Mus musculus: one gene and its partner. The protein of the gene in region 2 purifies or fractionates together with the protein of the main gene of each other region. This does not show direct contact. Links are inferred from orthologs where the notes say so. Each region holds a gene or a part of one and is shown on either strand. Other genes may lie near its edges.

Region 1 (15,878 bases), on a different chromosome or scaffold from region 2:
TTCAGACATGGACAAGGTCAGAAAAGCCAGACTTCCTGCCCCTCACAGGAGGGCCTTGCCCTCCCAGAAGAGCACAGTCTCCACCTCAGCCCTCACTCTCTCTTTCAGGGGTCTGAGGCTGCCCTGGGTGTGGTAGCCTTAGCCACACACTGCCACCTGAGACTAGCCTAAATCAAAGGCATCAAAGCCACTCCATTTCAAAGACTCAGTAGAGGAGGCGGGACAGGGGAGGACAGCTCCATGATTTCTCAGATGCTGAAGTGCCGCTGCTGCTTACCCAAGCTGTCAAAGTCTCTTACTGCTTTTACTGTGGCTACTGGGAAACTGCATGTGTGTGAGTATCATTTCCACAGCAGAACATGGCCCTAGAGCCATTTTTTGTTTTGTTTTGTTTTTTCAAGACTGGGTTTCTCTGTGTAATAGAGCCCCGGCTATCCTGGACTCACTTTATAGACCAGGCTGGCCTCAGAACTCACAGGGAGGGATCATTCTGCCTCAGGCTTGGGCCACCACACCCAGCTCTAGAGCCGATTTCTACCAGTGTGGATGGCAGGCCCTGGCTCTGTACAGGCAAGCATCAATGGGGCCTGACCCTCCAAACACTCACCAAACTGCCCTCCTGCTGAGGGCTCAGCACCTTCACCGTTATTTCCAAACTGCATCAATGAATCTAAAGTGCGGGGGGACATCGGCAGGTCAATGGTATTGCTGCAGGTCGTTCTGTAGGAAAGGGGGGACGGCAGGAGTGGGAAGGGCCAGGTTGACAAGACACAATGGAGGGGGAAAAAAAAAAAGAACAAACACACACACACAAGCCATCAAACTCTGGTCTCCAACAGAAAAAATAAAAACTCAAGCTTTTTAAACACACAAGGTCACTCTGAGCACTAAACAAGCCCAGCAGCTACCAGCCCTTCACGGTAACTCTCACCCCATGTCCTCCCTATTCCTGGGGACAACTGAGCACACTAGGACACTAGAAATGAATGCGAAACTGGGAAGGGCGGCCACTTACGGTGTCACACAGATGAACTTGGTCTTCAGGTACGGGGCAGCACCTGCAGAGAGGAAACCCGGGCTTTAACAGATTGTGACTTGCTTTGAGAACATGCAAGAGGAATCCTCCTGCCTCTCCCAGACGGCGTGAGCCAACCTTACAGAAACTGCCCAGACACCGCAGTCCAGCTCTTAGGGCTGTCCTCCCTCATCACATGCTGCTTGCCATCCAGTCTTGCAGTTTGAAGTTCTATCTCTTCCATAGAATTTCCTGAGCTGCAAAGACTTCTGCAGAGACACCTGCCCCACCTCTACCCAGCCTACCGTCAACTCTTTTGTTTTTGTTTTTTGTTTTTTTGAGACAGGGTTTCTCTGTGTAGCCCTGGCTGTCCTGGAACTTACTCTGTAGACCAGGCTGGGCTTGAACTCAGAAATCCGCCTGCCTCTGCTTCCCAAGTGCTGGGATTAAAGGTGTGCACCACCACTGCCCGGCCTACCGCCAACTCTTGTGCATCCTTCCCCACCCTGCCTGAGCGACCAACCATCTTTGTGTAGCGTTAGGCTTCTCCTGTGACCTGGTCACACTTGTGAATTGACTTCCCTGTTTGGTGACCAGCCCAGACACCAACAGGACTAAATGCTTACGTGCTGGAGGCTCCAAAGCCACTTCCAATCAGGAAAACATACCCCAGCCACTGGGAGACAGGACACCAGGTCCGAGAACATGTGCAACAGCCAGGAAACCTGGCCAAGGCGCCATCTCTTTCATGTGTGGGACAGAGAAAGAGACAGGACTGGCTGTCTTCCATCTCTGCCGTTTATGTTGGAAATGTGAGGACTGAAATGTTAGGCCAAGAAATCTGGAAGCCCTGGGGACACTGGCATGAAGCCCTGGGGGTTCAGTTAATGATGCTCGCAGCGGGCCTGGGGCTGTGTGGGTAGGCTAAGAAAAGCACAGACAGAACACTGGGGCTTACAAGCATCCAGCAAGACAAACCCCTGGGAGAAGCCATTAGAAAGTGCTCTTAGATGAATATGCAAGCTCATTTGTGGCCAAGAAACAGGTTAACTCAGCACAGAAGCAAAGGAATTATTGAGGCAACTGTGCTGCCTACAGTTCTAGAAAAGGTCTCTAGAGTGAGAACTGTCACCTTAAAGAGACAGAGGGGATCAGGGAGATGGCTTAGTGCTTAAGTCATCTGTCACCAAGCCTGAGCTCTGTCCTCAGGGGCTACATGGTAGAAGGAGAGAGCTGACACCCTCAAGGTCCTCCAACAAGGACCACCCCCAACACACATGCATACACAATAAGTTAGAGCGGAGAAGAGAAGACTTTCATTCTCCAGTGGTCAAGAGAGAAATATTCTTTGACCCGGCCCGAGGTAGGAGTGCGGGACACAGACTGGAGATGGAAGAGAGAAGGAACATCCTGTTGCTGCCTGGTGAACTTGCTCAAAATCCCTCCAGAGGAGCACAGGGTATATTACAGCCTCCTGACAGACAAGGAAGACCCAGGACGAGGCTCCGGGGAGGTCTCTACTGCAATACTCCTGTAGCAGGGGCAGAGGACAGGGACATACAGGCTCACCTCCCTAAGGGGATCATCTGAACCCCCTACCCTTCCATCATCGGGCTCCGGAGCCCCCAGTGCACTCTCCCTAGGCTCACAGGCAAGCCCATCAGGCAGTGGGCTCCTTTCTCATGCCCAGGCCTTGCCCCTGAGGAATGTCTCTGGGCAGCCTACACAGGAATGGTGATGGAGGTGGATGCCTGACCAGGGGCCTGGATCTTGAAAGCAAAATTAGTCAAAAGGATCAGTGCTCGGACTTCAAAGTCCTCTGTGAAAAGAACAAAGACCAGTGTGAGAGGGACTGATAAACAGATCTTCCAACTGAAGGCAAGGTGGAAGCAGAGATAAGGGACAGACAGGAAGTGAGAGCTGAACTCCTCCACAGAATGAAGAGAACTCAACAGCAGAACAAAGGGAAAGGAAAGTAACCGTCAACAAGCGACTCCTCCAAGAATGGTGGGCAGAGCCGGGGAAGCTGTGTGCAGGTGCTATGTGAACAGAAGCGGTTGGTGAAAAAACACCAGAGCAAGGAGGCCGGCTCACACAAGGCACCTCAGAGCAAGGAGGCCGGCTCACACAGGGCACCTCAGAGCAAGGAGGCCGGCTCACACAGGGCACCTCAGAGCAAGGAGGCCGGCTCACACAGGGCACCTCAGAGCAAGGAGGCCGGCTCACACAGGGCACCTCGGAGCTCAGCATGTGCAATGATCAACAACAGTCTTAGAAAACCAGACTCCTCACCAGCATAAGGACAGAGGCAAGCGTCAATGCAACAAGTTTGAAATGGCTTCAGACCAGACACCTCTGACTCTTTACACTGGGACCGCCCCAGACACTACAGACTTAACACAACATAATTTCTATTTTTCATATAATTTATACCAGCAGTTCTCAACCTTCTGAATGCTATGACCCTTTAATACAGCTCCTCATGTTGTGGTGACCCCAACCATACATTACTTTTTCTTACTACTTCATAGCTGTAATTTTGCTACAGTTATGAATCATAATGGAAATCTCTGTTTTCCTATAGTCTTAAGCGCTCCGTGAAAGGCTGAGAAATGCTGATTTACAGCCACACGCACTCCCACAGAGTAGATGCATCTTGTTTCTAAATGCCAAGTCCACATTCCCTCCAGTCATCATCTCTGGAACATCAACACCTCCAGCTTGATGTCAGCTCTGCCCCAGGCTGCCAACAGCCACTGCCCCAGAAAGCCTTTCTTCAGACTCCTGGCACTGCTCACTCAGGACAGCAAAGCATGCTGGACTCAAATCTGTCTCGGGTCTTCTGGAACCCACTGACTGGAGAAGCACCAGAGAGACCTGCCTTCATTTCTCTTTCTAGTGTTTTAAAGTGGCGGGGTGGGAGGGAGGGGGAGATGGAAAGGGAGAAGAGAGGAAGAGGGAGAGATACTATTTTCATCTTCAGACTTCCAAGCTCCCTGAGGGCTGATTCTGTCCTCCTCTTGAATCCTGAGTTAGTCACCCTGTCAAGGAACCCAATAAACCACTCTTTCCCAAAAGAAGGAATCACCAAGCCCTGCTCCCACAAGATACTCAGCCATGTCCTTGTCTCTCCAAGGATGCGTACTTTCTCACTAGGAAGGAAGGCAAAGCCATGGAAAGTCAACAACTACCTGGGTCGGCTTCGGGGTGCTCCTGGCTCTCGGGCCTACAGTACTTTCCAAATGCCTCCTCCTTGGGAATGTCGGGGTAGAGGTAGACAAGTGGAGACACCAGGATGTTGGTCGCATCCATGATCTTATAGCCCATGATGATTTCAGCAAATGACATGTTGTTCAGCTGCTGCTTGGTGTATGGCTCTACAGACTGGATCTGGGTCTTGCCTGTCACGGACCATGGAAGGAGAGATTATGCCAGTGGAGTGAGTGCTGGAGACTCTGAATGCCCTGCCCAGTGACTTGGAACTGAGGCAATATCCAGGCGGGCTTGTAGAGATCCAGCTGGCTCATAGGCAAAAACACCTGCCGCAAATGTATTAACGGGGTAGGCAGGAAAGGGAGTACAGAAGTAAGATTTCAATCACACTTTTCTACACAAATGTTAGCCAAATGAGTGAACAGGACAAACTGGCAGGCCACCTCTTCAGGAGGCACAGGCCCTCTCTGCCCTTCAGGGGGCAGTAGTACCCAGAACATGAAGTAGCCGGGTGCTGCCAGTGGCCAGCAGGTGGAGCAAGTGATACAGGAGGCAAGCGTTCTTACCACTGATGTCCTTTTCCACCCAAGTGAAAGTGACCCCTCCTTCTTTGCTGCTCTCGCTGAAGCGCAGTAGGAAGGTGCCCGGGGGCTTTGTGCTTAGGATGGCCCGCTCCCGCTCCTTGCTGATGAAACCCATGATGTACCTGCAGCCAAGGACAACCAGTCACGGGCTTGCTGGGAGTAGGTGACTCGTTACACAGGGCAGCCTTACTGCAGAGTTTAACCTTACCCTTCATTCCAAAGGGCCAAGATATACTTTTTCACAAGGTCGATGATATTGTCTAGCCAGACCCAGAAGGAGAAGCCCTTGCCAGCCATGTTTTCCTGGAGAAAAGAATGGGAAAGCAAGTCCACCACCACTCACCCCAGCTCTTTCCTGCCAGAGCCTTCTTACACCCTCAGGTTCCTCTATCCTCAGGCAGCTCCTGACAGCTGCTGGAGAAAGGGGTCCTGGGCACCCCACACCTACCTCCTAACTGAGGGAATCAACAGGATCACTTACTTTGCAGAATTTAGCCCATGTGATCTGACACCCTGAGTAGTTCACACCAGGCCCTGGAAGAGAAAACAACAACCGGATTTCAGCCTTGGCCAAAGCTATTTCTTAAGCAGAATTTACAAAAAGGCCATGCATTTGTACATGTACTTACAGGGTGTGTGCCACACATGCCCACACACACCCAAGCCCAACAGCTGTCCCTAGATTAGGCCAGCACAGATGTCCTGTTGGACCCCTGCTTGTCCTTGCCTTGTGTGGTCTGAGAACTGGCAACACACAGTGACAAAGCTGGCAGCTGGGGTCAGGAGCCTTTTTTTTTTTTTTTTTGTAGGAGCACAGGTCAAAGTTACTTTCAGTCCAGATATTTTTTTAAAGGGGAGAAAAAATTTAAAACTATTGTCTTTGGCTTTTTAAAGAAAGAAACATGCTCTTCAAACACACTTAGCAACCTGGTCCTGGCATGGTGCCTTGCCCTAGGCTGACATGGGGACCCCGACTGAATGACCACCCCCCAGGCCAGACATGTCTGAAGCTGTCAACCTAGGAGCTTCTCAGCCAGCGTTGTCAGCTGCTCGATGCTCAGCCCCCGCTTGGTGGTGGACGAGAACTGCCAGCTGAGCACCTCGGCCACTTGGTCCCAGGTTCCAATTGGCGGCTTAGTGAAGAAGTTCACGTTCTATTGAAAAGAACACATTTGTTCACTTGGATGAGAGAGTGACACTGACAGCCTGCACCCACTTGGATGAGAGAGTGACACTGACAGCCTGCACCCACTTGGATGAGAGAGTGACACTGACAGCCTGCACCCACTTGGATGAGAGAGTGACACTGACAGCCTGCACCGGGGGTGGAGAAGCAGCAAGGTTCAGGGATTTCAGAGAGGGTTGGGGGTGGGAAACTCACCTTGGGGTTATTGGTCAGCATGTTATACCACAGGATTGATGCCCAAGCATTTGGCATCTGACAGATGTTGGAGATCACCACAACTGGCAAGGAGTGGGTCTGTAGAGTATGGGGACAGGCGGTGAATGACTTAGTGGGACAGCTGGGCTCTCACAGCTCCCAACCCTTGTCACCCGCATCTCAATAAGTTAGAATTAAAAATCACACCATGGCCACCCCTCACGGCAAGTGCAGGCTGGAGCAAGAACACCAAGAGGAGAAAGACCAGCCTGCATCAGGACCAGCCTGCATCAGGACCAGCCTGCATCAGGACCAGCCTGCATCAGCACTGATGTCTGAACATCATCAGTGACTTGTTCAAAGTCAGGCCCTAAAAACTAACACTAGGGCTGGAGAGATGGCTCAGCAGTTATGAGCACTGACTGCTCTTCCGAAGGTCCCGAGTTCAAATCCCAGCAACCACACGGTGGCTCACAACCATCCATAAAAAAGATATGACTCCCTCTTCTGGAGTGTCTGAAGACAGCCACAGTGCACTCATAATAAATAAATAAACAAACAAACCTTTAAAAACAAACAAACAAACAACTAACACTAACCCAAACACTAAGGCTAACCCAGGCCCTCAGCCCGACTCTCCAGAGACAGACCTGGAAGGCAACCTCCAAACAACCTGCATCTTTCCATGAAGCTGAGGTGTTAGAAATCAAACCTAAGGATGTCTGCTTTTCCAGGTCTAAACTTAATAAGATCAAGAAAGATGGAAAACAGGGGCTGGAGAGATGGCCTATCAGTTAAGAGCACTGACTATTCTTCCTGAGGTCCTGAGTTCAATTCCCAGCAACCACATGGTGGCTTTACAACCATCTGTGATGGAATCTAATTCCCTCTTCTGGTGTGTCTGAAGAGAGTAATGGTGTACTCACATACATAAAATAAATAAATCTTTAAGGAAGGAAGGAAGGAAACAAGCAAGCAAGCAAGCAGGAAAATAAAATCTAAATGGCGGCTACTAAGACCCACTTGCCCAAACTTCATCAAATCGATTCTAAACAATCACTAATATAGATTTTCATAACAGGTACTCAAGCAAGACTTTACTCTTGGGGACAGGGTGGCTCTCAGGGACGTTTCTGAGATAGATAATGAGAAACAAATCCAGGCTGGGCAGACAGCCATCATCCCGGCAGGCGTTCTGTCCTGGCCTCCCTGCACACGCACCCCCGCACACGAGCCGCCTGGTTCTGGGAAGGCCTCACCTCTAGGTCAATCTTGAGGCCTTGGTGGTACACCTCAGTCTCGAAGGTGATCAGGTGCAGCTCCTCAGTCACGATCAAGGAGGCCTGCAACAGCATAAGGTCTCTCAGAGACACTGGCAGGGACACAACTCTGCCCTCTTTCTTCCACCCAAAGACCCAAGGACATGATCCTCACATATGCACTACATAGTACATAACCATATCTTACAATACACATTCAAGGCACGAAGAATAACAAAGCAATGAGCATCCAAGGATAAGCCACCCAGCTTACGTCCTTATTTGAGGGCCAGCAAGATGGCTCAGTGGGCAAGGGCATCTGCCTGCCAACCCGAGCCTCATCCCTGGGACCCACTTGGTGGAAGAAGAAACAAGTCCTTCAAGTGGCAACTTGACCTTCACATTCACACCATCGCACATGTGCGACCATACACAAACACAGACACACAGGAAGGAAGGAAGGAAGGAAGGAAGGAAGGAAGGAAGGAAGGGAGGGAGGGAGGGAGGGAGGGAGGGAGGGAGGGAGGGAGGGAGGGAGGGAGGGAGGGAGGAAGGGAGGATGGGAGGGAGGAGGGAGGGAGAAGGAGGGAGGGGAGAGAAAGAGGAAGGAGGAAGGAAGGGAGGGAGGAAGAGGGAAGGGAGGGGAGGGAGGGGAGAGAGAGGAAGGGAGGGAGAGGGAGGAGAGAGGGAGAGGGAGGGAGAGGGAGGAGGGAGGGAGAGGGAGGAGAGAGGAAAGGAGGGAGGGAGAAAGGGAAGGAAGGAGGGGAGAATAGGAAGGAATAAAGGAAGGCTTCTTAGGTTTCTTCTCTCTCTCCCTCCTTCCTTTTATATGCACTAGGGAGCAAACTCAGGGTCTCATGCATCTAAGTGCACCCCAACACTGAGCGATAGCCTAGCATTATCATCCCGCATAAGTTGCCATTATCACCGAGATTCCCCAGGTGAATCCCCCTTCTCTGCACTTTACTGTGTCTTTGTCTCTGCTGTCTCCCAGCTCCTCCCAACCGTGTTCATGGTTGTTTCTCCAAGCATGTGTACTTCACACAGTGAACTGCACTCTCAGTGTGTTCCTGCTCCTGACACCCCACCCCCACCTTGATGAGGGTCTGTGGTCCCGTGCAGGTCCCAGTTCCTCTTTCAGAGCTGTAGAGTACTCCACTGCCTACACCACAGCTCATGACCCCAGTGCTGAGAGATCTGAGCTGTGTCAATGACCAATGGCTGTGACTGTGTTATCTGTCCTTAGTTCACCTATGCAAAGCTTTCTTTACTGTTAATTCCTAAGACTGGAACTGCCGGTTTACAGGGTGTGCTCATTTTTATGCCAAGTCACTTTCTAAAGTGACTGTGATAACCTTCAGTGCCACACAAGCAGTCAAGCAATGTGGCTACCTGTGGTCATGAGCTGTGGTGTAGGCAGCAGAATACTCTACAGCTCTGAAAGAGGAACTGGGACCTGCACGGGACCACAGACCCTCATCAATTAGTACACAAATTACTGATGAATTCTCAGGAATGAATTTCCAGCTCTTTTACATGTATGTGCTGAATGACAGAATGATCTCAAACTCACAATTCCCCTGCCTCAGCTCCTGAGCACAGTTTGGTTGGTGGTTTTTTTTTGTTTGTTTTGTTTTGTTGTTGTTTTTTTTTCTGTTTAGCTCTGACTGGCTGACTTGATGTCTTCCTTTTGTCTCACCAGGCACTGAAAAGGGAGCCAGCTGGCAGGTAGTAGCAAGGGACTCTGGGAAGCCCCGGGCAATGTGGAAACTTCTTTTCTACCAGATGGGTGTGGGTAACAGCTTGGCGAGGGACTTCCCACTGCTGAAAGGGAGCCAACTCCCCAACACTCAGGGAAATGTTTCTCGCTAGAAAACTCCACAGCACCTGTGACTTCTGAGCATGTCACCCTGGCCCAGAGCGACCAACTTTTCTAAAGGACAAACATCTGAAGTAGTGGGTTAAAGTTTTAATTCTGGGTTGGAGAGAGGGAGAGAGGGAGAGAGGGAGAGAGAGAGAGAGAGAGAGAGAGAGAGAGAGAGAGAGAGAGAGAGAGAGCGAGAGAGCTTTCTCTTTCTTCCTCAAAGAAAGAAAACAATTGCTTTTAGCCCGAACAAAACTTACTTACATCACAATTGGCACGGCCTCCATTCCCACATCTCTGCTCCCTAAGGGTCTGGAAGAAAGGAAGAAGAAGGAGGCAAGTGTCACTTGAGGCTGTGCCAGTCTCTCCCCCCTCCTCTGCCACCTGGCCTGTGCCGCCTCCTCTCCCCTCGGACACCGACCAGGTGCTTGAACTCTGCAGACAGGCTGCCGTTGTTAGACTCCTCCATGTTCATCACTTTTGTGTTCGTGCCCAGAATGTTAAATTTCCGAGACCTAAATCATGGGAGAAAAACCAACACACAGTGAGCGCTGAGTAGCCAGAGGGTAAAGTTGGATGAGAAAGAACAAAAGGAGGCCCAACTTACCCTCTGAGGGCAGCAACATCCCCAGAGTCTCTGTAAAGAACACAGACAAGGGTTAATAAAAGCTGAGATTAGAGCCCCTCTTTCTTTCCAGAACCTACTCTGATGGAACATGCCTTTCGATGCTCAGTTACATTTTCGGTGTGAAACACAACTCTGTATGCACTTAAACAGTAGCCTTAGCTGGGGGCCTAACCACAGCTTCTTTCCCTTCCTAAGGAAAGCTCCATTCTCTCAGTAAGGGATGGCAGAGCCATCTATCTCCAGGGAACCCCGATCACTGCATTCATCAGAACAGAGGAAGCCACAGAGCAGGTGAAGACGGGGTCTGCCTTGTCTGTTTTGTCGGCTTTCCGAGACAGCGCTCTGTGTAGCCCTCCTGGCTGTCGTGGAACTTGCTCTGTAGACCTGAACTCAGAGATCACCTGCTTCTGCCTCCTGGGTGCTGGGATTAAAGGCCTGTTCTCAGCCAGACCAAGGAGGCAATAGCCTAGGCTGATCTTCTGTCCACAGCCATGAGACCACCTGGAAGGGAACCTGTCTACAGCTGGCACGGTAAGGATGGCACGGTAAGGATGGCATGGAAGACCCAGGGTTCCTGAAGACACCTGTGAGTCACCAGCCTCATCCTTAGGTACTTGCCCCAACTGCATTTCCAGTTACACGGGTGGTGAATTTCCTTATTATCGGAGCCACGCTGGGTTTTCCAGAAAGGTATGTTGTTACCAAAAACTGACACCACCTCCCACAAGGCAGCTGGAAATGCTATCCTCACGTGACCACTGCTGCCTGTCTCTGACAGGCCATCTTTTTATATTATGACATTTCTGTCTTTATCTTATTTCAGAACACTATTTTACAAGTTCTTCTTAGCCAGACTTGGTGTCAGATACCTTTAATCCTAGCACTGGGGAGCACAGGCAGGTGAGTCACTGTGAATTCAAGGCCAGCCAGGGTTGTAGAGTCAGACGCTCTCTCAAAATAAAACTAAGTAAAATTTCTTTTCCATTGCTATATTTTTACCTACAAATAGCATGTGTTGGTGGGTTTGTGGAAGAAGATTATTAACTTCAAACCAGTTCTCTTTCCATATACTCTATTTTCAAGCATTACTTATTTACACGTTTATTTTTCAGTATGGGGGTTGAACCCGGGCCTCGTGCATGCGTGCGTGCTAGGTGAGCCTGCAATACTGAGCTGCACACACTCAAACTTTTCTTTTCAATGCTTCAGGCAAACCGGGCAGGGTTTGCAAGGGTTTTGAACACAGCTGTTCACAAAAAGAAGATCCCTGAATGGAGACATCTCTAAAGTCAAATGTCTGTCCAAGTTCTTGCTTCTCCATCCCTCATTTGAAAACAAGAGTTAGGCTTAAGAATACGGATTGGTAGCCTACAGAACGGGATTTTTCTTTTAAACCAACTACATATCCAATAGAGGACAAATGCCCGAAAAGAATTTTAAGAAAATAAATATCAAGAAAATACAGACCAGTTAGAAATGGGGTACAGATCTAAACAGAAAATTCTTAATAGAGGAAACCCAAGTGGCTGAGAAACAGAGAAATGTCCAACATCCTTAGGATCAGGGAATGCAAATCAAACTGCTGTGAGAGTCTATCATATGCCTAACAGGATAGTTAAGATCAACACAAGTGACAGCTCATGCTGTCGAGGATGTGGAGTAAGGGCCACCATCACATATTGCTGGTGGGAATGCAAGCTCATGCAGCAACTATGGAAATCAGTATGGCCGCTCCTCAGGAAGACGGGAATCCATCTACCTCAAGATCCAGTTAGACCACTCTTGGGCACATACCCAAAGGATGCTTCATCCTACCACAGACACTTGCTCAACCACGTTCACTGCTGTTCTCTCCATACTAACCAGAAGCTGGAAACAACCTAGATGTCCCTCAACAGAAGAATGAATAAAGAAAATGTGGTACATTTACATACGGAGTATTACTCAGCCATTAAAAAAAAAAAAAAGAAACTTGCAGGCAAATAGATGGAACTAGGAAAAAAAAAATCTTCCTGAGTGAGGTAACCTAGACCCAGAAAGACAAATGTGGTGTGTACTCACTTATGTATGGATATTAGCCATTAAGTCAATGATAACCAAGCTGCAATCCTTAAGAACCACAGAGGGTGAATACAGACTAAGGAACTACAGAGAACAAATAGATCTAATTAGGAAAAAAGAAATAGAAGGGGTTCTGGATAGATGAGGGATTCTGGATAGATGAGGGATTCTGGATAGATGAGGGATTCTGGATAGACGAGGTCTGAACTTGGAGGAGCAAATGGGGAAGCCGAGGGGAGAGGAGAGCTGGTGGTGGGAGGGAACAATGGGAGACGGCAACACTTATGGAGCATCCGTGGAGTAGTATCGACATCTCGTACAGTAGGAACCTCCTAAAACATTCACATATGTGAAGGTGATCTAGATTCAATCGCCAAGTAATGGGGGAGAGTTGGGGTCCCAACTGGCGATCTCTTGCCACCAAATAAAGCTTCCAGTACTGGGTTAGGGTTAAGTCTAATTGAATTGTTGGCCAAAGGGAATCCTCAAACAATCCACGCTGTTATCAAGACCATCGGTTGCTTTCCACAACTGACAGCAAGGCCCCACTGTTGAGGATAACACCTACACAACTCACTGAACATGGGCACGTGAAGCTGGTGCCTCCATAGAGCCCCCCACTGTATGCCAGAGTCTTTGTTATAGGAAGGTACTCTGCATGCTATCAAAAGAGAAGTGTGAACAGCAAGCCAGCCTCAAACCTCTATCTGTAATAGTGTACTGCCTGCAGGATATGCTAGGGCAATGGTGGCACAAACCTGTGGAAGTAACCAACCAACAAGAGTCTTAAGGCTCACTATACAAGATGAAACTCATACCCAACAAGGCTTGGGTGGCCAAGAACCAGAGACTAGATAGCCCAAGGACCTAGGGAAAAACTAAATAATACTGATCTAAAAAAGAGAAAGGAAAAAAAAACAATAAAATGACTCCAGGTGACATTCTGCTAGACTCAGATATCAGTGCCTTGCTCAGCCATCATCAGAGAAGAGTCCTCCTGTCCAAAGATGGGAAGAAATATAGAGACCCACAGCCAGACATCATGCAGAGAAAGACCTTGAAACACTCATTCCCTAAATGGGATGTCTCCAGCAAATCCCTCCCCTCAGAGCTCAGGGAATACCAAGGAAGAAGCAGCAGAAAAAACATTAAGAACCAGAGGGGTTAGAGGTCACCAAAACCACAAGGCCCTCTGAATCACCACGAGCAAAGCTCATATGAACTCGCAGAGACTGGAGCAGCATGCCCTGGGCCTGCAGGGGCCTGCACCAGGGCCTCTGTGCTAATATTGTGGCTTCCCATGTAGTGTTCTCATGGGATTCCCAGGGTGCAAACGAGTGGGACTCCGACTCCTGTGCCTTCTCTTGGGTTCTTTTCCTCCTGTTGGTTTGTCTCGTCCAACTTGGATGTCATAGCCTTTGTTTTGCTTTGTTATATTTTATTTTGTTACATTAAAAAAAATGAATGAATGAATGAATGAATGTAAACCCACCACTAGGGTGAAAGATTAGCAATGGAGCTGCTGGGAGCAGCACTGGCTTTGTCAACCACTCAGTGCGGGTCTCGTGAGCAGGACAGTTGACCAACAAATAGTTTGTTGTGCATGCTCTTATTTAATCACAATTTTAGTCCCATCTTTTTTCTTTTTGGGTGTTGTATTTTGTTCTCAGTCTTTTGGGGATTTTGTTGTATTGGGGTTTTGGTTGTTTAGTTTTTTTGAGAAACTTGGGTGAGTACAGGAGGAGGAGATCTGAATGTACTTGGGAGAAGGGAAGAATATGAGCAAAGCATGAATTTAACAGTTGCTTTTAAATAATAAAAATTATACACTTACACACACACACACATAAAGAATACTTACTTATCAATGCACACTTTAATTTTAAGCTGATAATTCAACTCAGGAAATTTGACCAGCAACCTATTAAAAAATATAGTCAAGGAAAGTTAGTAGGCTCCCTACCTTGATCTCGTTAAAATATAAACCCCCTAATACTTCAATTCCTAAGATGTAAAAATATTGCTGAGCATGGTGGTGCATGCCTTTAATCCCAGCACTTGGGAGGCAAAGGGAGGTGAATCTCTGGGTTCAAGCCAGCCTAGTTTACAGAGAGTGTTCCAGGCCAGCCAGGGCTACAAAGACCTGTCTAGATGAAAAATACACACACACACACACACACACACACACACACACGCACGCACGCATATATATATATATATATATATATATTATTTTTACAAACCCAAATTCTACTTCCGCAGAGTCATCTCTGACATTAAAAGTGAACACTAACCCTTCAGCTAGAAAGTACTGAGATGCCTAAGCATGTGAAGCAAGTTGTAAGAGACTTCTCACGGGAAGGCAATAAAAAGCATTCAATGAGAAATACTGCACGTGTTCTGAGCCAGGTGAGGAGTGGGCTTCATCTCTCACCCAATGGGGCCCCTCAGCTATGGCACCACAGAACCTTCCTTCCCTTAAAATCCTCAGGGAAGAGGACTGGACATCAATCAAAACTCCACCCAAAGTGTAAGGACAGGCCCACCTGACTTTCGTGGTAAACTGGACACCAGTCTTGATGACTAAGGGCCGGTCCGGGTGCATGGGCATGCAGGGCTGCCGCTCCACCACGAAGGCACTGGAAGGGAAAAGGATGGCATCTCAGACGCTGTGGTGACCAGTCTTCTGCCGGTTCCTCCCTTCGGAACGTCATCTCTTACAAGTTACCTCTTCATTAAGTTTCTGAACAGCTCCACGATCCTCTCCTCCAGCATGGGCCGGTGCTGCACGATAGGGTCGCCCTTGTAGGACACTTTCTGCTGCAGCTCCTCCAGTTTCTTAATTTGTTGGCGGGTCTGAAGTTGAGATTCTGCTAATGAAGTTATCCTGCCATAATGGAAGGAAGTTCCAGTCACCTCTGTCCCCTAGTGGTGACCCCAGCACTCAGGAGACTGAAGCAAAGGGACCCTGAGGCATCCATCCCACCACAACAAAGGAAGGAAGGAAGGAAGGAAGGGAGGAAGGAGACGGACAACTCGATTTCTAGCTTCACATGTATAGTTATGACATCACATGTATAGTCATGAAATCACATGTTTAATCACGACAGATGCCTACAAAATGACTATCACAAAGTCTGGTGACTTGCTGGTACTACTCAAAGACTAGATTTTCATTTTTTTTATTTCATTTTATTAGTTTTATATATATTCAGTTATTTCCCCCCTTTGCAAATAACATATATTGTTTTAGATTATTAAAATAACTAAAATGGAGAATTTAGTGTTAAATACAACTGAAAGTATTATTTAAATATCTTAAATTAGTGATCTAAGCTTTATTAATTTATTCTTTTTAATTAAAAATTTGTTGGTTGGGCAATGGTGGTGCATGTCTTTAATCTCAGTACTTGGGAAGCAGAGGCAGGCAGACCTCTATGAGTTTGAGCCAGTGTAGTCTACAGAGCAAGTTCAAGGACAGCTAAGGCTAAATAGAGAAACTCTGTCTCAGAAAAAAACAAAAAAGTTAAAATTAGGTAATGGTTTTAATTCTTGGACTAAACTTGACTGTGTAAAAAAGGCCACCTTAAGGCAGGCAGAGTGATGCATGCCTATAATCCCAGATAATTCCATTTGGGAAGATGAAGCAGGAGGATTGCAAATTCAAGGTCAGCCTGGGCTATAGAGTAGGTATGAGGGCCAGCCTGGGCTATGGAGTGGGTATGAGGGCCAGCCTGGGCTATGGAGTGGGTATGAGGGCCAGCCTATGCAGCTCAGTGAGATTCTTTCTCAAAGAAAAAAAAAGGTGCCATCTTAGCAATAGTGTCCAGCACTAGGAGTGTAGTCCAGTGGCTCTGGCACACTTGTCTACCA
Region 2 (15,878 bases):
AAAGCAAGTCAGGGAGAAAGATGTTTATTTGGTCTCCACTTCCACGTCATAGTCCCTCATTGGAAGAAGCCAGGACAGGAACCCAAGCAGGGCTGCAACCTGGAAGCAGGAGCCATGGAGGGGTGCTGCTTACTGGCTTGTTTCCCCTGACTTGCTCAGCTTGCTTTCTAATAGAACCCAGGACCGCCAGCCTAGGGATGGCACCACCCACAATGTCTGGGCCCTCCCCCAATGATCACTAATTAAGAAAATGCCTTACAGCTAGATCTCATGGAGGTGTTTCCTCAGCTGAGGCTCCTTTCTCTCTGATGGCTCTTGCCTGGGTCAGGTTGACAGACAGGTTGCTCTAGCCTGCATCCCAAGAAGAGGCTGGGTCCCAGCTCCTGCTTCAGAGACTGTCAGAGACTGAAGTGGTCTCCTTCCTCCTGCTGCAACACCTCAGTGCTTGATGAGCACACGCTGAACTTCGAGCTGACTTCCCAGCATCCCCCTCACCCAGAACAGATCCCTGCACTACATCTTACATCTACCTTAGGACCTGTCCCTCTATATACCCACACAGAAGCAGGAAGGATGCTGTATCTGACTACAGCCTCCACTGTCTGACATGTTTGGTGCTGGGACTTTGTGGGTGCAAGGGGCGGGCTCCACAATCTCAGTCAGTTCCCGTGTCCAGACAGTTGGGCTCATGAGAGCTTAACATTGGGTTCTGTACTTTGGTGTTTGTTTCATGCCAGAACCCCTGGTGCGATGGCACCCTGAGCAAATTCCACCTGACTTCACCTTCCTGAGCCCTTACTTTGTTTTTGGGATGCCTGCCCAGACTCCATCTCACTGAAATATTAAAGAGCCAGTTTATAAATGCCAAAGAAACTTCCAGGGGTCCTGAGTCTCTTTGAGGAGAAACTGGGAAGGCGTGGCAGAATCTCCACGGTGGCACTTTCATCCTGGTACTGCAGGCATATAAGGATGGGCCTGGGTCCCTGGGACTCTGTGACCTGGTTTCTCTCAAGCACTATATGAACAGCTGTCACTGAACAAAGCCTGGCCCAGACTCTGGCCCAGTCCTAAATCACTCTGTGGCCCGGGGCCATTCTCTGTCTTGGTTTATTGCTCAGTAAGACAAGGATCCTAACATCCATTAGTGTTTTGATGTGCTTAAAACAGCCCATAGAAATCCCACTGAATGGAAGGTGACACAAGGGGCGTTGGGATGGACTGTTAAAAAAGAGCTTGAGGTATGTGGGGTGGCCGCTCAGCCTGTGAACGTGTTCTGCGTCATGGTGCTCTGTTGGTTATGTGGGGGAACAGCTGCACTGTCCAGAGTCCTCGGGGTCAAAGCTGCTGGGACCTTGGCCCGGTTGCAGCAGCAACAGCTACTTGGGGCTATAAAGCACTAGCGAGAGCCCTAGAACCAAAGAGGTCTGGTCACTCACACACGCTCATCCCCAGGCCACTTGGGTGGCCAGGCCTCGTCCTAGGAAAGAAATGAATTGTAACCTAATTGGCAGTTTCCTTTGTCTAGAAGCCGGAAGGAACTGCCAGCAAGACCCTCGATTAAGTCAGTAGCAGCTGGGAAATCACATTTGGGTGGGGGCATCCTTCATGTCAGTGAAGGCCGTGCAGCTGGTCTGGGTGGGCATGGAAATGCAGGTGGTAGCTGCAGTGCATTCTGGATAAAGCCTGATGCCCGTGCTCCTCGAAGAAGGAGGCCCCGTCTCTGCATAGAGTTAATCCCTAGCCTCAGCTGTGCTAGGAGATCTCATCTGTGTAGGAGATCCCCCACCCCCACCCACCCAAACCAAAGCAGAGAACTATACAATGATGTGAGACTCAGAGGGCTGAGCACTGCGGGTAATACTAACAGCGTTGTGAGAGATGATGTCCTACGGAAGAGACAGGACGTGTGAGGACCCTGCTTGGTTGTGCAGGGAGAGCAGAGCCTCAAGCCAGGAGCAGCTCCACCTCCACTCCATGTGTCGTCTGTCCATGTGTCGTCTGTCCAGCCGCTCTTCCAGGCTACCAGCCACCCTACTCTGAAGGCCCACTGAGATGGGTGACTAAGGAGTTACCACACACTGAGTCCTCTGTTCTACACTAGTGGGGGTCCAGACTTAAAGCTGTGCATGGACTCCGAAGATGAGGAGAGAGGTGATGCTGATTTGTATGGAAGCTGGAAGTGATGCTTATGAGTGTGGTGATAGTTACGGTGCGGATGGTGATTGTAGATAATGGAGGAGGTACAGGTGTGTGGATGAAGATGACAGCAGGCAGCGGCCGTTGTTCTTAGACCTTCCCATCCACCAACTAGATTTTGCTCCCAATAACTCTAGGAAGAGGAAGGGCCTAATCTCCTTGGAAGCCAAGACAAAGAATGTATAACCTTTGTCCTAGCCAGTGCCCCAACTCTGCCAGTCACCCAGACGTCGTCCATGGTCTTGCCTGGAATCCACAAGGTGGTTCAACCTGTCATTTCTGACAGGCGTTTTGGGGTCATGGTCTCTTAGCCCTGAGAAGCTAGACTTCTTGTTAGCACCTGCCTCTTCCAGCTCTCTCTTTCCTGAACTTACCGTCTTCTCCAGTCTCTTCTGCTCTCTCTCTAGATCGGGCTACCCCTCTTGTGGCTGACACTGTCCATGCTTCCTAGGGAAGCGCCCCCCCCACCCACGGCCTCCCTGGTCTTCATTTGTGGCTCCTGTCAATGATTCAGAACAAGCAGCTTAGGTCTGCGTTATTTTCTTGTTGCTGTGAGTAAGTGCCAGACAAGAAAGGACTCTTAACTGCTGAGCCATGTCTCCAGCCCTTTGGTTGAGTTTTGCAAATGGCATTTGTCCTAGTAAGGGTTTACTGTTGCTATGATGAAACACCAGGACCAAAAGCAAGTTGGGAAGGGACAAGCATTTATTTGGTGTACACATCTACATCAGAGTCCCATCATTGAAGGAAGTCAGGACGGGAACTCAAACAGGGCAGGAACCAGGAGGCAGCAATTGATGCAGAGGCCGTGAAGAGAGACTACCTACTGGGTTGTTCCTGACCGCTTGCTCATCCTGCTTTTTCTTTTTATTTAGAACCCAGGACCATCAGCCCAGGGGTGGCACCTGCAATGGCCTGGGCCCTTTCACGTACAGACTTCCTGTAGGATCCAGAAGTTCCATCTCTCAGTATCATCCCGGAGACTTATACATCCATTTCATAGCGACATTAATCATTAACAGCCAAAGCTGCACGCAGCTCTGCTGCCTATGGATGGGGACACAGAATATGAGGTGTACATTGCACATGTCATTCAGCCCTGATTTAGAAGGAGAGATACTCTGATACTGTCCTGGCTAGGTAGATGTGTGTCAGTTTGAACAAGCTATAGTCACCCGAGAGGAGGCAGTCTGGACTGAGAAAATAGTGCCTCCGTAAGATCGGGCTGTAGGCAGGCTTACAGAGCATGCTCTTAAATAGGTTGCTGCCACAGGATTCTGTGGTATGGTTGTGTCACTCTGCCTACCTGAATACCCACTGCAGGACATCTGTTTCTAGTGAGAAATTCACCCATTTAACACTCGGTTACTTGATGGATGGGCGGTTTTCCTTCTGCTGGACACATGGAGTAGACTTGCTGGGTCATATATAAGAGCATATTTTGATAAACAGTCAGTTGCTTTCATACGCAGTGCTCTTTTGTTTCTGGGGACTGCGGCCTGCCCTGCTGGTCTGGCAGTCTCTCATAACTTTGAAACTTCCTCCTGTTCCAGGTGGTATGCTGGGAAACAGTCACTGAACTCCTGGGTCATGTGTGATCCTGGGGCAGATTACACTTGCACTTGGGTAGCAGAGAAGTATTTTGCACTGTTTTGTATTTTCTCCCCCCTTCCTTTGCCTTTCTTTGCTTAAATGTGGTGCATTTATCAGTCATGTTTAGCTATGTTCATGTTCTTTGAACTAGAGGTAAGAAATTCTTGCTAGGATTAGAATTTTAGTTTCTTGCTTTTGTTTTTGTTTTTTGTCCTCGATGTTTTCCCCATCCCCACTCACACCCTCGTGTCTCCTGCAGCCCCACTGGGCCTCTATTTCTCAAGGGATGCTTACTGGGAGAGGCTGTATGTAGACCAGCCAGCTGGCACACCTCTGCTCTATGTCCATGCCCTACGGGATGCCCCTGGAGAAGTGCCGAGCTTCCGCCTGGGCCAGCATCTCTATGGCGTCTACCGTACACGGCTGCATGAGAATGACTGGATCCGCATCAATGAGACTACTGGCCTTCTCTACCTCAATCAGAGCCTGGACCACAGTTCCTGGGAACAGCTCAGCATCCGCAGTAAGAGAACAGCCTGACACCCCTATCCCTACTCCACTTTGGCCTAGCCCTTAAGCTGCCCTCATCTCGACTGCCAGTCTGAGGCCAGGGATGGCTTTATGGCCAAGGGTGTAAGGTACAGGGTAAAGGCAGTTGCTTCGTGTCCAGTTAACGAGGGACCCACATGACTTTGGGAATACTAATTACCTCCTGAAGCTATTGGGAGTTAAGAGAACCATGCAAACGACTTGGCACTCTGTGTAGAGCAGAGTCTAGGTGCAGTGGGGTCATAAGGGTATACAAGTTGTGAGAGAGATTCCAAGGGGCTGGAAACACTCCCCGGGGAGTCAGTAATTTAGCTGATGACCTGGAACTTGCTGAAGAGTACCTGGTCCTAGAAATCATGTTTCCCCATCTGCAACAGGCTGGCTTGAGGTGTCCAGGAAGGAGGCAGAGCAGAAGGAAACCTAGAGGGTGTCCCAAAGCTAAGGCTGGAGCTGCAGTCGAGGCCACATAGGACGTTAGCCCTGGTGTGGAGAGTGAGGATCTGACTCGCCTGTGTGATGTGGGATGGTGATGGTATGCGCCTCCCAGGACCTCCTCTGAGGCATGGCCTCACAAGTCCTTAAGTTCCAGTCCACACGTGGAGGCAGGGTAGATGAATACTATGATACAGAATTAACTATATCGACAGGATTTGTAGAGTGACTGACCTATCTGACAAGAGCAGTGTCTAAGTTAGAGCTTCCATTGTTGTAAAGAGACACCATGACCAAGGGAACTCTTATGAAGGACAATATTTAATTGGGGCTGGCTTACAGGTTCAGAGGTTCAGTCCATTATCATCATGGTGGAAGCATGGCAGCGTCCAGGCAGACATGATGCTGGAGAAGGAACTGAGAATTCTACATCTTTGTCCCAAAGGCAAACAGGAGAAAGACTGGCTTTCAAGCAGCTAGGAGGAGGGTCTCAAAGCCCAACCCCACAATGACACACTTCCTACTCCAACAAGGCCACACCTCCCAGTAGTGCCCCTCCCTGGGCCAAGCATAGTCAAAACACCACAGCAGCCAGGATAGTAAGATGGGAGGATGCTCGAGGTGCCAACATAGTCTAGATCAGTGATTCTCAGCCTCTGGGTTGAGACCCCTTGGCATGCATAGCAGATATTTACACAATGATTCGTAACAGTAGCAATGTTAGTGTTAGGAGGTAGCAAGGCAATAAGAATTTTATGATTGAGCGTCACCACAATGTAAGGAACTGTGTTAAAGGTCACAGCATCAGGAAGGTTGAGAGCCATGGGTCTAGACAGTTCCTGGAGGAAGTACTCTGCAATGTCTCTTGGTTTCAAAAATACCTTCATTTCCTCTGCGTCCCTCCTGAACCATAGTGGGAAACTGAGGAATGAGAGTCCTTGGGGGGAAGCCAGGGTGGAATGTGCTGTAAACCTGCAGTTCCCTGAAGACCTACACCACTCATGTTTGAGCATGGCCTCGTCCAGTCAGGAAAGAAGCACACAGCAATTTGGACAGTTTGTTCAGAGAATGTTAACCACAACAGGGTCATCATAACAATGTAATACAGGCTAAGGGGAAGCAAACTGAACCCTGTAGCAATCTGCCAGGCCTAAGGCAGAGGCCCAGGGAGATGCCTGCCTCTGCCAAAGGCTAGACCTCACTAAAGTGGGCTGTGGTGCCTCAGTGGTAGAACTTAACTGGAAACTCTTCTACAGAGTATTAATGAAATCTGTGCAAAGCACTTGATTGGTAGGCGGGGTTGGAGGGTGGAGAGTCCAACTCCCAGAGGCCTGCAGGAACCTACACTATGAGGCCACTCACCTGGCAGGACCTGGAAACTTTAGCCCCAGGCAGGGCTTGGGTACTTCTTTCAGGTTGGACCATTTGAGCAGAAACCTGAAAGACAAAAGAGGCAGGTAAGAGGGCTACTGATTTCCATCATCCTGCAGCGGGCGGCGATGGGGAGGTATCAGCTGAGACTTGTGGACCACACTGAACCCTGGAATTCCTGCCCCTCTTCTTGATCCCTCACCTGAAAAGGAGCTGTCTTCTTCTCTTTCTACAGATGGTGGTTTCCCCCTGCTCACCATCTTCCTCCAGGTCTTTCTGGGGTCCACAGCCCAGAGAGAGGGAGAATGCCATTGGCCAGGCTGTACCCGTGTGTACTTCTCCTTCATCAACGACACCTTCCCAAATTGTAGCTCCTTCAAAGCCCAGGATCTCTGCATCCCAGAGACAGCCGTGTCCTTCCGAGTCAGGGAGAACAGGCCTCCTGGCACCTTCTACCACTTCCACATGTTACCCGTGCAGTTCCTTTGTCCCAACATCAGTGTGAAGTACAGTCTCTTAGGAGGTGAGTTCCAGCCTCAAGGGGCTATTCCTTTGTCCTGTTACATGGGAGGCATGGTGCTATAAGCCCTTAGGGTGAGCCACGAGTTCTTTTTGCCACTTGTTGAGTATTCCAGAAGTATCTCTCTTGAATGTCTGTCACCAGCCAAGTAGTGTTGAAGGAAGTTAGGATACAACTGTAAACAAACAAACGATCTGGCGTCTTGCCTGCCTTGAAGCCTCTAGTCATCTGGAGGATAGAGCCCTTGGACACGTCAAGGAATCTAGATGGTTTCTAAGGAGGAGTGAGAAGCTGAGAGAACAGAGAGGTAGGGGCCACTAAACCAAGTGGGTAGGTGCCAAAAGGCTCTGGCCCCAGAAGGTGCTAAACTGAGACCATTTGTAGTTGGACTGCAGTTAGCCACTAGAGAAACAGTGGCAAACAGGGGCAGGCTGGCTATGTCAGGGGAAATGTCAGGGTTTCTTTCCCTAGTGCAGGGGAAACTGTGGAAGTCGGGGGGCAGGTATGAGAAGTCTCCACTTGCATCTAAAAAGGCTTAGTTGGGCTCCTATGTTGGGTACAGTTCGTGCCAGGGTAGTGTATGGTACAGTTAGGGACACGGAAGGGTCCAGGACAGACTCCTGATTGGGAGGATGGGCTGATAGCGAGGCTGGAGTTGGCATGAAAATCGTGGAGCTTCCTGGCTTGCTCTTAAGGAGACCCAGATGGATTCTTCTAAGCTAGAGATGGGGTGTTGAACCCAGTTCCAGGGGTTCTGCTAGCATCCGCAGGCACAGCAGACCTTTCTGGGGAGCTAGCCCTTCTAGCAAAGTGGACCTGTATACTTTGACATCTTGCTTATGTAGAATAAATGAAGGCTTCAAGAAACCAATCAGGTCACAATCGCAGGACACAAACAACAGGAAATCAAATCCCATATCCAGAAATCCTGGTTGGAATGTCAGTCACACCCCTGATGTCCAGTATCTGTTTTCAAGTCATCGAACCGGGATGTTTCTCCCATTGTCTGACACGAGCAAATGTCATGTCTGTGATTTAAAAAAAAACAAAATGGATGACATTGTGAATCTGACCATACCTGGAGCTGGCTCTCTGCCTATCCTCTGCCCTCCTGGGCATCCCCCCTCCAGGCCATGACAGAGACACCTGGCCTTATGTCAACCCTTGTCTGCCCATTTGCATGAGTGAAGGCTCCAGGCACAAAACAGTAGGTGACACAAACCTCACACAGCCTATATTTGGAGTACTGTGTGCCGTCCCCACAGAGCCCACTGCCATCCACTCTGGGTAGAACCATGAGCAAGGGAGGCCACGCCCCATCCCCTACCCAGTGGTCATGCGGTATTCCCTTCTGCTTGGTGACAGGGGATAGTCTGCCCTTCCGTTGTGACCCAGACTGCCTGGAGGTGAGCACTCGCTGGGCCCTGGATCGAGAGCTCCGGGAGAAGTATGTGCTGGAGGCTTTGTGCATAGTGGCAGGCCCTGGTGCCAACAAAGAGACGGTGACTCTGTCCTTCCCAGTGACAGTGTATGATGAGGACGACTCGGCGCCCACCTTCTCTGGAGGTGTGGGCACTGCCAGCGCGGTGGTGGAGTTTAAGCGGAAGGAGGTTGGTCCCACAGTGGCATTTGATTGTCTGGTTGTCTTGTCCTGTGCATGTTTGGTGTTTGTCCCTGTCGGCAGTTTATATTTGATCTGTTTAGCTAGCTGTTCCACTAGCCGTCCAGTCATGTGACCCTCTACTTGTCCTTTGTGTCTTGTCTGTTTGGCTGACTGCCAGCCAGATAGCTGCAGTAAACTGGGCTGGCACTGTGAAGGCCCGAACCTGGGGTGCTTAGATTGTGTATAATGAGGCCAAGGGCCTCATGAGGAGAGCACTGGGGAAGAACACTCAGGCTCACTTGACCTGGCAAAAAGGAGGGTACTCCCTTCTGCTGGCAGCTGGGCAACTTGTCCAGGAGTGTCCTATGAGAGGATGTCCTCGCCCATGCTGCTTTGACCAGCCTAGGTGGTGTGCTACTGCCACCTGCTGGGCTTCAGGCTACTCTGCAGCCTGCTCTTAGGCTCAGTAAGAAGGGTGTTTTGCTTCTCTGGGGAACTAACTAGCTACAGGCTTCCTAGGGAGTGAGAGCAGTATGGGGAAGCGAGAAAGTATCTGATTAGACAACCTTAGAGTAACCCAGTGGCCCTGTGGCTTTGCTTACAAATCTTACCCGAGGCCCTGGGGACAAACATTCAGTTCTGATCGTCTGGCCCTAGGATTGGTTCAAAGAACACATAGTTGGTCTAGTTCTGGGCTGTGCGAGGTCATGTGATCCTCTGACTATACCTGCGCTGACTGGCACTCTGCTTTCTGTAGGGCACTGTGGTGGCCACCCTGCAGGTGTTCGATGCAGATGTGGTGCCAGCGTCTGGGGAGCTGGTGAGACGGTACACAAACACACTCCTCTCAGGGGACTCCTGGGCCCAGCAGACCTTCCGGGTGGAGCATTCGCCCATCGAGACCTTGGTCCAGGTCAACAACAACTCCGTTCGGGCAACCATGCACAATTACAGTAAGAAGCCAACGGCGTGATGTTTTCCCAGAACTTCAGGACACTTGGTATACACACACACACACACACACACACACACACACACTCTCACACACTACAGGAAAACCACATACATTCCATACACCAAAATATGTCCCACTGAGCACACCCATTCCAGGCCCCACACAGTCTGTGTATACAAACACTACCCAAACACCCCATACACAAACTCATTTAAATATGCTAATTTACACCCGCCCACCAGTAAGTAAACACCACACTCATACATTTCATACCCACCTAACACACTACACCCACAAAAGTATACACACTTTGTATACATATCAAACCACAGGACATAATAAACCCCTATATATAAACACACCACACATGTACCACATGTACCGTATGTCTCTCTGGAGCATATGCATGTGTACACACACACACACACTCACACACGAGATCTAGCCGAGTAAAATGTTTAGCTTTTAAATATCAGTACTATTGTAAGACTGCCCACCAGACCTGCAGGGTTGGACGTTGGTGTGGCTATATAGTATGTGGCACAAGACGTGATGATGAAGGATAGTAACTTGTTTTGTCTCCTTGTCGTGCCCGCCTACAGAGCTGATTCTCAACAGGAGCCTGTCTATCTCAGAGAGCCGAGTCCTGCAGCTCGCGGTCCTGGTCAACGACTCAGACTTCCAGGGGCCTGGGGCAGGTGGTATCCTCGTCCTCCATTTCAACGTGTCTGTACTGCCCGTCACCCTGAACCTACCCAGGGCCTACTCCTTCCCAGTGAATAAGAGGGCCCGCCGCTATGCCCAGGTGAGCCCGTGGCCCATTACATGGCATGAGGTTAGGGGGTTCCAAGACTGCAGGCAGGGCTATGGGTGGGTGGCACCTCTTCCCTAGCCCATCCAGTGCAGCGTTAGCATAGGTGGCTCCCTAGTAGAGGGATCCTTAAGCCTCTGTTTACCCCGCTTCACCCTAGAGAGCTCCTAGCCTCTCGTTAGCTCCCAGAGCAAGCCTTCTGATCTTACCGTCTTACTTCTTGGTATCTTTAAAACATTTTTTTTTTTTGCACTAATACAAAACATTTCCAGGTAACCCCGTGTATGCCTACTTGGAAAGATGTTCTTGGCTGTACTGTTAAGTGGAAAAAGTGGTTGGAGGAACCTGGTCTCTGGTGTCTCTGTCAATGCAAAAATACCTTTTTAATGGGGGGAGGGGACTTTAGTGGGTAGCAGACTGTGGTTGGCAGTAGTGGCTTGTGGGAAAAGGCAGGGGTCACATCTGCTTATAGAATTTTACGCGCTAGAGACATCACAAGGTAATGTTCATATTTGTCTTTGGAAAATGATAAATGAAATGGAGAAGTAAAAGATTGGGGTCGTGGTTCAGTGGTATAGATCTGTCCTAGCACGCACTAGGCTCCATCCCCAGCACCGCTAAAAATAAATGAAAATACAAAGAGTAGAAAGTGAGCGGTGGTCTTCATTAAAATGATGAGGATTGAGGGCACATGTCCCTCCCACCCCTTGACCACCAGAGACAGCATTTGCTGCCGTTCTGACTTGTTTCTTCTCAAGCACTCACGGTGTCTGTTTGTTGGTTGCTTTTAGTTCATTTGTGGTTTGCGCACGTGTGTGTGTGTGTGTGTGTGTGTGTGTGTGTGTGTGGTGGGGGGGGGGGGTGTAGAGGGTTGATCTGTCTTCGGACTGTGTTTAGAACAGTCTCCTCTTGTGCCCGGGTCTTTCCAATTCTTAAAGTCGGTTCCAGATTCTCACTCACTCCTGTCACCAGCACACGAAGGACCTGCCTGTAAATAGAGAGAGCCTTTAGCCCTTCTCCAGGGTGAGAACATCAGGTCGGGAGTGGGGATGACAAAGTGAAGGGCTTGAGAAGGGGTTGGAGGTATCAGTTAGAGGCGGATCCACCTGCATTTAAAAGACCTGGGAGCCTCAGTCATTGCCCTGTAGTGATTGGTTTCTTACTGTCTCCATAGTTTTGAACTTGGATATTTTTAAGGGTCCCCCGAGAAGATAGAGGTGAACGTTCTTTGTAAGGGAAAGTGAAGCAACCAGGAGGTTGGATTGTTAGGGTGTCCGTGTGGCTTGGGAAACCCCTGTCCCTGCTCTGGGTCTTAAGAAGCTGCCCCCTAGGTCTGTGCTTGCCCTGAGACACAGGGCCCCACAACCAGGACCACTCCTGCAGCTCTGAGCAACCATAGCTCTCTGGAGTGTATGTGAGATAAAGGCTCAGGGCCTGGCTCCAGAGCCAAACATCCTCAGAAGGGGTCTCTTTCCAGAACCTCTACAGAGGCCTCTTGACCTCAAGTGCAATGACAGCATTGCAGTCTCCCAGCTAGGGCATGGCGCTCTAACAGGTGGGGGGGCGGGGGGAGAGAGACACACAACAGGGGGATTGTGGCCATCACAACTGACTCCCAGTGGTGTGGGTTTCTGGTGAGTTGGTGTTCTTAAGCAAGGTGGGCTTGTAGGTGCTGAGGCTGTAGAACACTGGACATTGAGGAAGGCTGCCATTCAAGCAAAGTTGAGCCAGGTGGTGGTGGTGGTGGCGGCGGCGGCGGCGGCGGCAGCAGCGCACACCTTTAATCCTAGCACTCGGGAGGCAGAGGCAGGCGGATTTCTAAGTTCGAGGCCAGACTGGTCTACAAAGTGAGTTCCATGACAGCCAGGGCTACACAGAGAAACCCTGTCTCGAAAAAAACAAACAAACAAACAGCTAAGTTGAGGGCCGTTCTGCAATTTGCTCTTCCCAAGAGCCCATCCAGCTAAGGTGCACTGGTACGATCCTCCTCCTTCCTCTCCTCCTCCCTGTCCTCCCCTCCAGATCGGGAAAGTCTGTGTGGAAAACTGCCAGGAGTTCAGCGGTGTCTCCATCCAGTACAAGCTGCAGCCTTCCAGCATCAACTGCACTGCCCTAGGTGTGGTCACCTCACCCGAGGACACCTCGGGGACCCTATTTGTAAATGACACAGAGGCCCTGCGGCGACCTGAGTGCACCAAGCTTCAGTACACGGTGGTAGCCACTGACCGGCAGACCCGCAGACAGACCCAGGCTTCGCTAGTGGTCACTGTGGAGGGGACATGTAAGTGTCGGGCTCCAAGGAGGGGTGAGACGTCACAGACAATGTGTTCGCTGTGTCTTTCGGTGTAAACCAGTGATACCATGTGTCCTTTGCTGTGGTCACCCTCATATCCTCCCTGTCAGATGGGCTCAGCAGACAGGAGGCTGATGAGAGCCTCTGGCTCTCGTGTCTAGGTCCCTGCCATACAATACTCTGGTTACCCCAGAACCTGTGGAGTTTCAGTCCAGAGACAGTAGAACTGTTGCTACATTCTGTTCATTGGAGAGGTCTAGAGACTGGGCCCACACCAGCCCCAGTGACCTTGGCTTGTCTGTCTGTCATGCTTCCAGCCATTACTGAAGAAGTAGGCTGCCCCAAGTCCTGTGCAGTAAACAAGAGGCGCCCCGAGTGTGAGGAATGTGGTGGCCTGGGTTCTCCAACTGGCAGGTGCGAGTGGCGCCAGGGAGATGGTAAAGGTAGGCGTGGGAGCCGGCAGGGGGTCGTGGGGGGCACCGGGGAGGAGGGGAAGGGGGGGGGATGTTCTGGCTGCCATCAGGGTTCCTGCAAGGCCTCCTAGTCCCTGCCATGAGCTTCCTTAATCCTTGTCTTCTGACCCTGTCCCTCTTGGGAAACCAGTGCCAGCAGAGAAGGTGGGGCACGTGCCATCTTGTAACTAGCGGTTCCTCAGTTGGATTCAGTCTGGGTTTGGAAGGGTCTATATCAGAGCTGGGACAGATGGGAGACAGAGTGGTTCTTCCAGAAAGTCCCAACTAGGAAGTGTGTCTGCCTCACTGTTGGGTGCACCTCCCGCTCTAAGGCTCCTGTTGGCAATATAGCTTTGACGGATCCTTGCCTTCAAGTGACCTCCTTAAAGGAAGGCTGTCTGCAGTCCTGGGATGCCCAAGCACTTCAGCCCTTGGGAACCCCTTGTCTCATTTCTCGCTGCCGTCTTAGGTGTATGTGGCCTTGCCCCACTTGTCCCTTCATCTCCCTGTCCCAGGAGAGGCAGAGTTGGACCATGACAGAGTCGTGGTGGGATGTGCCCCTGTGGGGTGACAGCCTGCTGTATGCTCCACCACAGGGATCACCAGGAACTTCTCCACCTGCTCCCCCAGTACCAGGACCTGCCCCGACGGCCACTGTGATGCTGTGGAGAGCCGGGATGCCAACATTTGCCCCCAGGACTGTCTCCGTAAGCCCATGCTAGGCCCGTGGTGATGCATCTTATCAGCGTCCGGGAAGGGCAGAGGAGAGGGAGGTAGCAGCAGAGAGCTTGGAAATCCTAACCTCCTCCTGAACATGGATGCCCATCGGAGGCCTCAGGCTGGACGGGGGTATTGTCTGTGCACGAGCTTAGCTTATGTAGGGCCATGGCTTCATCTTAGCACTGAAGAGGAAAAGTGTGTGATAGTAGGTTGAACCAAGCAGGATGGGTCAAGCCAGTCCCACTACCATCTCATTTGAATGTTCGTCGTGTTCCCCCAAGACTGGGCTTTTGTAGCATGGCCTGCCTATCCTTGGCTGACTTGTGAAACTCAAGTCCCTGATCTGCTGGCTCAGAACCCACCTTGCCTCTTATCTATTACTTCCATCTTTACTGTTACTGGGGGCTAGCCATGGGTGATGTCTTCTGGGACCTTAGCAATGACTCTGAGGAGTCTTGGTTCCCCTCCACTTCCATAGACAGTATGGGCGGGGGGGTTATTGTGTTAAACTCTCTGCCCAGATGAGAAGGGCCTCTGAACCTATTGCCTTTGATGGGCCTGAGCTACTGACTCCGAGTTGGGGACTCTGAGGTATCAGGCCACAGCAGGAAACTTAATGTGCCACCTATGTCCTCAGGTGCCGACATTGTTGGAGGACACGAGCGAGGGGAGCGCCAGGGCATTAAAGCAGGCTACGGCATCTGCAACTGTTTCCCTGATGAGAAGAAATGCTTCTGCGAGCCAGAGGACAGCCAGGGTAAGTCATGCCTCCCACACAGTTCCCCAACCTCCCCTAACCCTCAAGGGAGTTCTGAGCAACATTTATGAGGTCCACCAAGGGAAGAGACTGTGGGGGAGGCAGTTAGATTCCCGGGAGGCTCCTCCTTCCCTTTGGGCCCAGTACCGTTGGTGCCCCTGTGAATAGGGGTCAGAGTCCCTCTAAAGCATTTCCTAGCCACAGTTCTTGATGAAGGAAGCTCAGAGAGCAGACCTTCCAAGTAACTTGATCAGATTTCCTGTACAGGGTCTCCCTCGGCCTCTGGCACTGTGGAAGTCTCCTGCTATTTGGCTCATTCTAGAACCCTCTGTCCAAAGCCTCCGATCCTTTCTTCCTTCATCCTACCTTTTTGTACTGAAAACAGTATAGCTGGTGTGGCTGGCATACTGCCTGTGCTGTCTGAGGGAGGCAGTGTGTGCAGTCTTCAAATCAGTGTTTCTACTGTGAGAGAGTGAACACAGGGGGAGGTGGTACAGTGATGCCTGCACCCGGTCTGTAACATCTCAGATGGTCACAGTGCAGTCTCTGTCACTCTGCCCTTCCGCAGGCCCACTGTGTGATGCGCTGTGCCGCACGATCATCACAGCTGCCCTCTTCTCCCTTATCATCTCCATCCTGCTGTCCATCTTCTGTGTCTGCCACCACCACAAGCATGGGCACAAGCCGCCCATTGCATCAGCGGAAATGACCTTCTGCCGGCCGGCCCAGGGCTTCCCAATCAGTTATTCCTCCTCAGGCACCCGCCGGCCCTCACTGGATTCCACGGAGAACCAGGTTCCTGTGGACTCTTTCAAGATCCCGGTAAGGGGCCCCAAGAGGTAGGTGGACAATGTTGGAGGAAACATGGCCACACAGGCTTTCTTTACTACTTGGGATACCCACAGATGGTGGATACGGCATTGCCTAGATCTCCCGTCGCATAGGGCCAAGAGCAAGGGCATCCTTGCCTTCCAGTGGGAAGCTGGGCTGTGAAGGCAGGCTGTCTAAGAAAGAACTGACAGGTACTGATTTAGATGGCTCTGGCAGGGATCTGAGATGTAGGCCTTGAAGTCGCAGCGAGAGTGAGCAGGGCCCTAGCTAGCAAGGGAGATGTGAGCAGAAGCCCCAAGGGATAGGACCAGTAATTTCTACACACGCACAGGCACACATGTACTCGGCAAGTATTTTAAGTCAGAGTGGGAACCGTGGAAGAGACTTGTGTTAGTTAGCATTTCAATTGTTGAGCAGTGGGGTGGGATGGGGGTGGGGCAGAGAGAGTGGGGGTCATAAAAAAGTGCAGGTTTTGAGGTCCAGGGCAGCAGCATGATGTAGGGTAGTGCCTCAACATGGAGTCCCCACTGGGGGCCCAGAAGAAAGCCCCAGCTACTCTTGAGATGGACGTACCTTTCCATGGGTGCTGCTCAAGGCCAAACTACCATTGAGGCCTCCCTATCGTGGTCGTGCCTTTCCTGGGCTTGCCGTGTATGGTGTCTGCCCTCACCTTCAGGAAGACCCTGACCCTTCATCACTCCACCCCGCTCTTACCTCTTTAGGATTTGGAAGCCAGGGTGCTCTGGGAACGGCTAGAACAGTGTTACGAGACAAGGGGTCTGAACAGAGTAAGCC

Evidence for each region.
Region 1: the proteins of Ret (region 2) and Stat3 purify together in Homo sapiens (affinity purification with western blotting; 3 studies listed by BioGRID and IntAct, with this or other methods). This does not show direct contact. The link is inferred for Mus musculus from reciprocal best matches to the Homo sapiens genes RET and STAT3.

Annotation. Positions count from the first base shown.
Region 1 is NC_000077.6:100,888,871-100,904,748, forward strand, and holds part of Stat3 (signal transducer and activator of transcription 3), read right to left. Parts: intron 14,893-15,878; coding exon 14,734-14,892; intron 14,645-14,733; coding exon 14,552-14,644; intron 13,927-14,551; coding exon 13,867-13,926; intron 9,954-13,866; coding exon 9,924-9,953; intron 9,832-9,923; coding exon 9,738-9,831; intron 9,629-9,737; coding exon 9,581-9,628; intron 7,537-9,580; coding exon 7,453-7,536; intron 6,293-7,452; coding exon 6,194-6,292; intron 5,967-6,193; coding exon 5,831-5,966; intron 5,347-5,830; coding exon 5,294-5,346; intron 5,116-5,293; coding exon 5,021-5,115; intron 4,935-5,020; coding exon 4,795-4,934; intron 4,417-4,794; coding exon 4,204-4,416; intron 1,059-4,203; coding exon 1,016-1,058; intron 721-1,015; coding exon 608-720; intron 1-607. UniProt on the Homo sapiens protein: Signal transducer and transcription activator that mediates cellular responses to interleukins, KITLG/SCF, LEP and other growth factors. Once activated, recruits coactivators, such as NCOA1 or MED1, to the promoter region of the target gene.
Region 2 is NC_000072.6:118,172,611-118,188,488, reverse strand, and holds part of Ret (proto-oncogene tyrosine-protein kinase receptor Ret isoform c precursor), read left to right. Parts: intron 1-4,048; coding exon 4,049-4,312; intron 4,313-6,376; coding exon 6,377-6,664; intron 6,665-8,026; coding exon 8,027-8,271; intron 8,272-9,021; coding exon 9,022-9,217; intron 9,218-9,821; coding exon 9,822-10,024; intron 10,025-12,052; coding exon 12,053-12,311; intron 12,312-12,640; coding exon 12,641-12,766; intron 12,767-13,371; coding exon 13,372-13,482; intron 13,483-14,132; coding exon 14,133-14,252; intron 14,253-14,820; coding exon 14,821-15,074; intron 15,075-15,878. UniProt on the Homo sapiens protein: Receptor tyrosine-protein kinase involved in numerous cellular mechanisms including cell proliferation, neuronal navigation, cell migration, and cell differentiation in response to glia cell line-derived growth family factors (GDNF, NRTN, ARTN, PSPN and GDF15).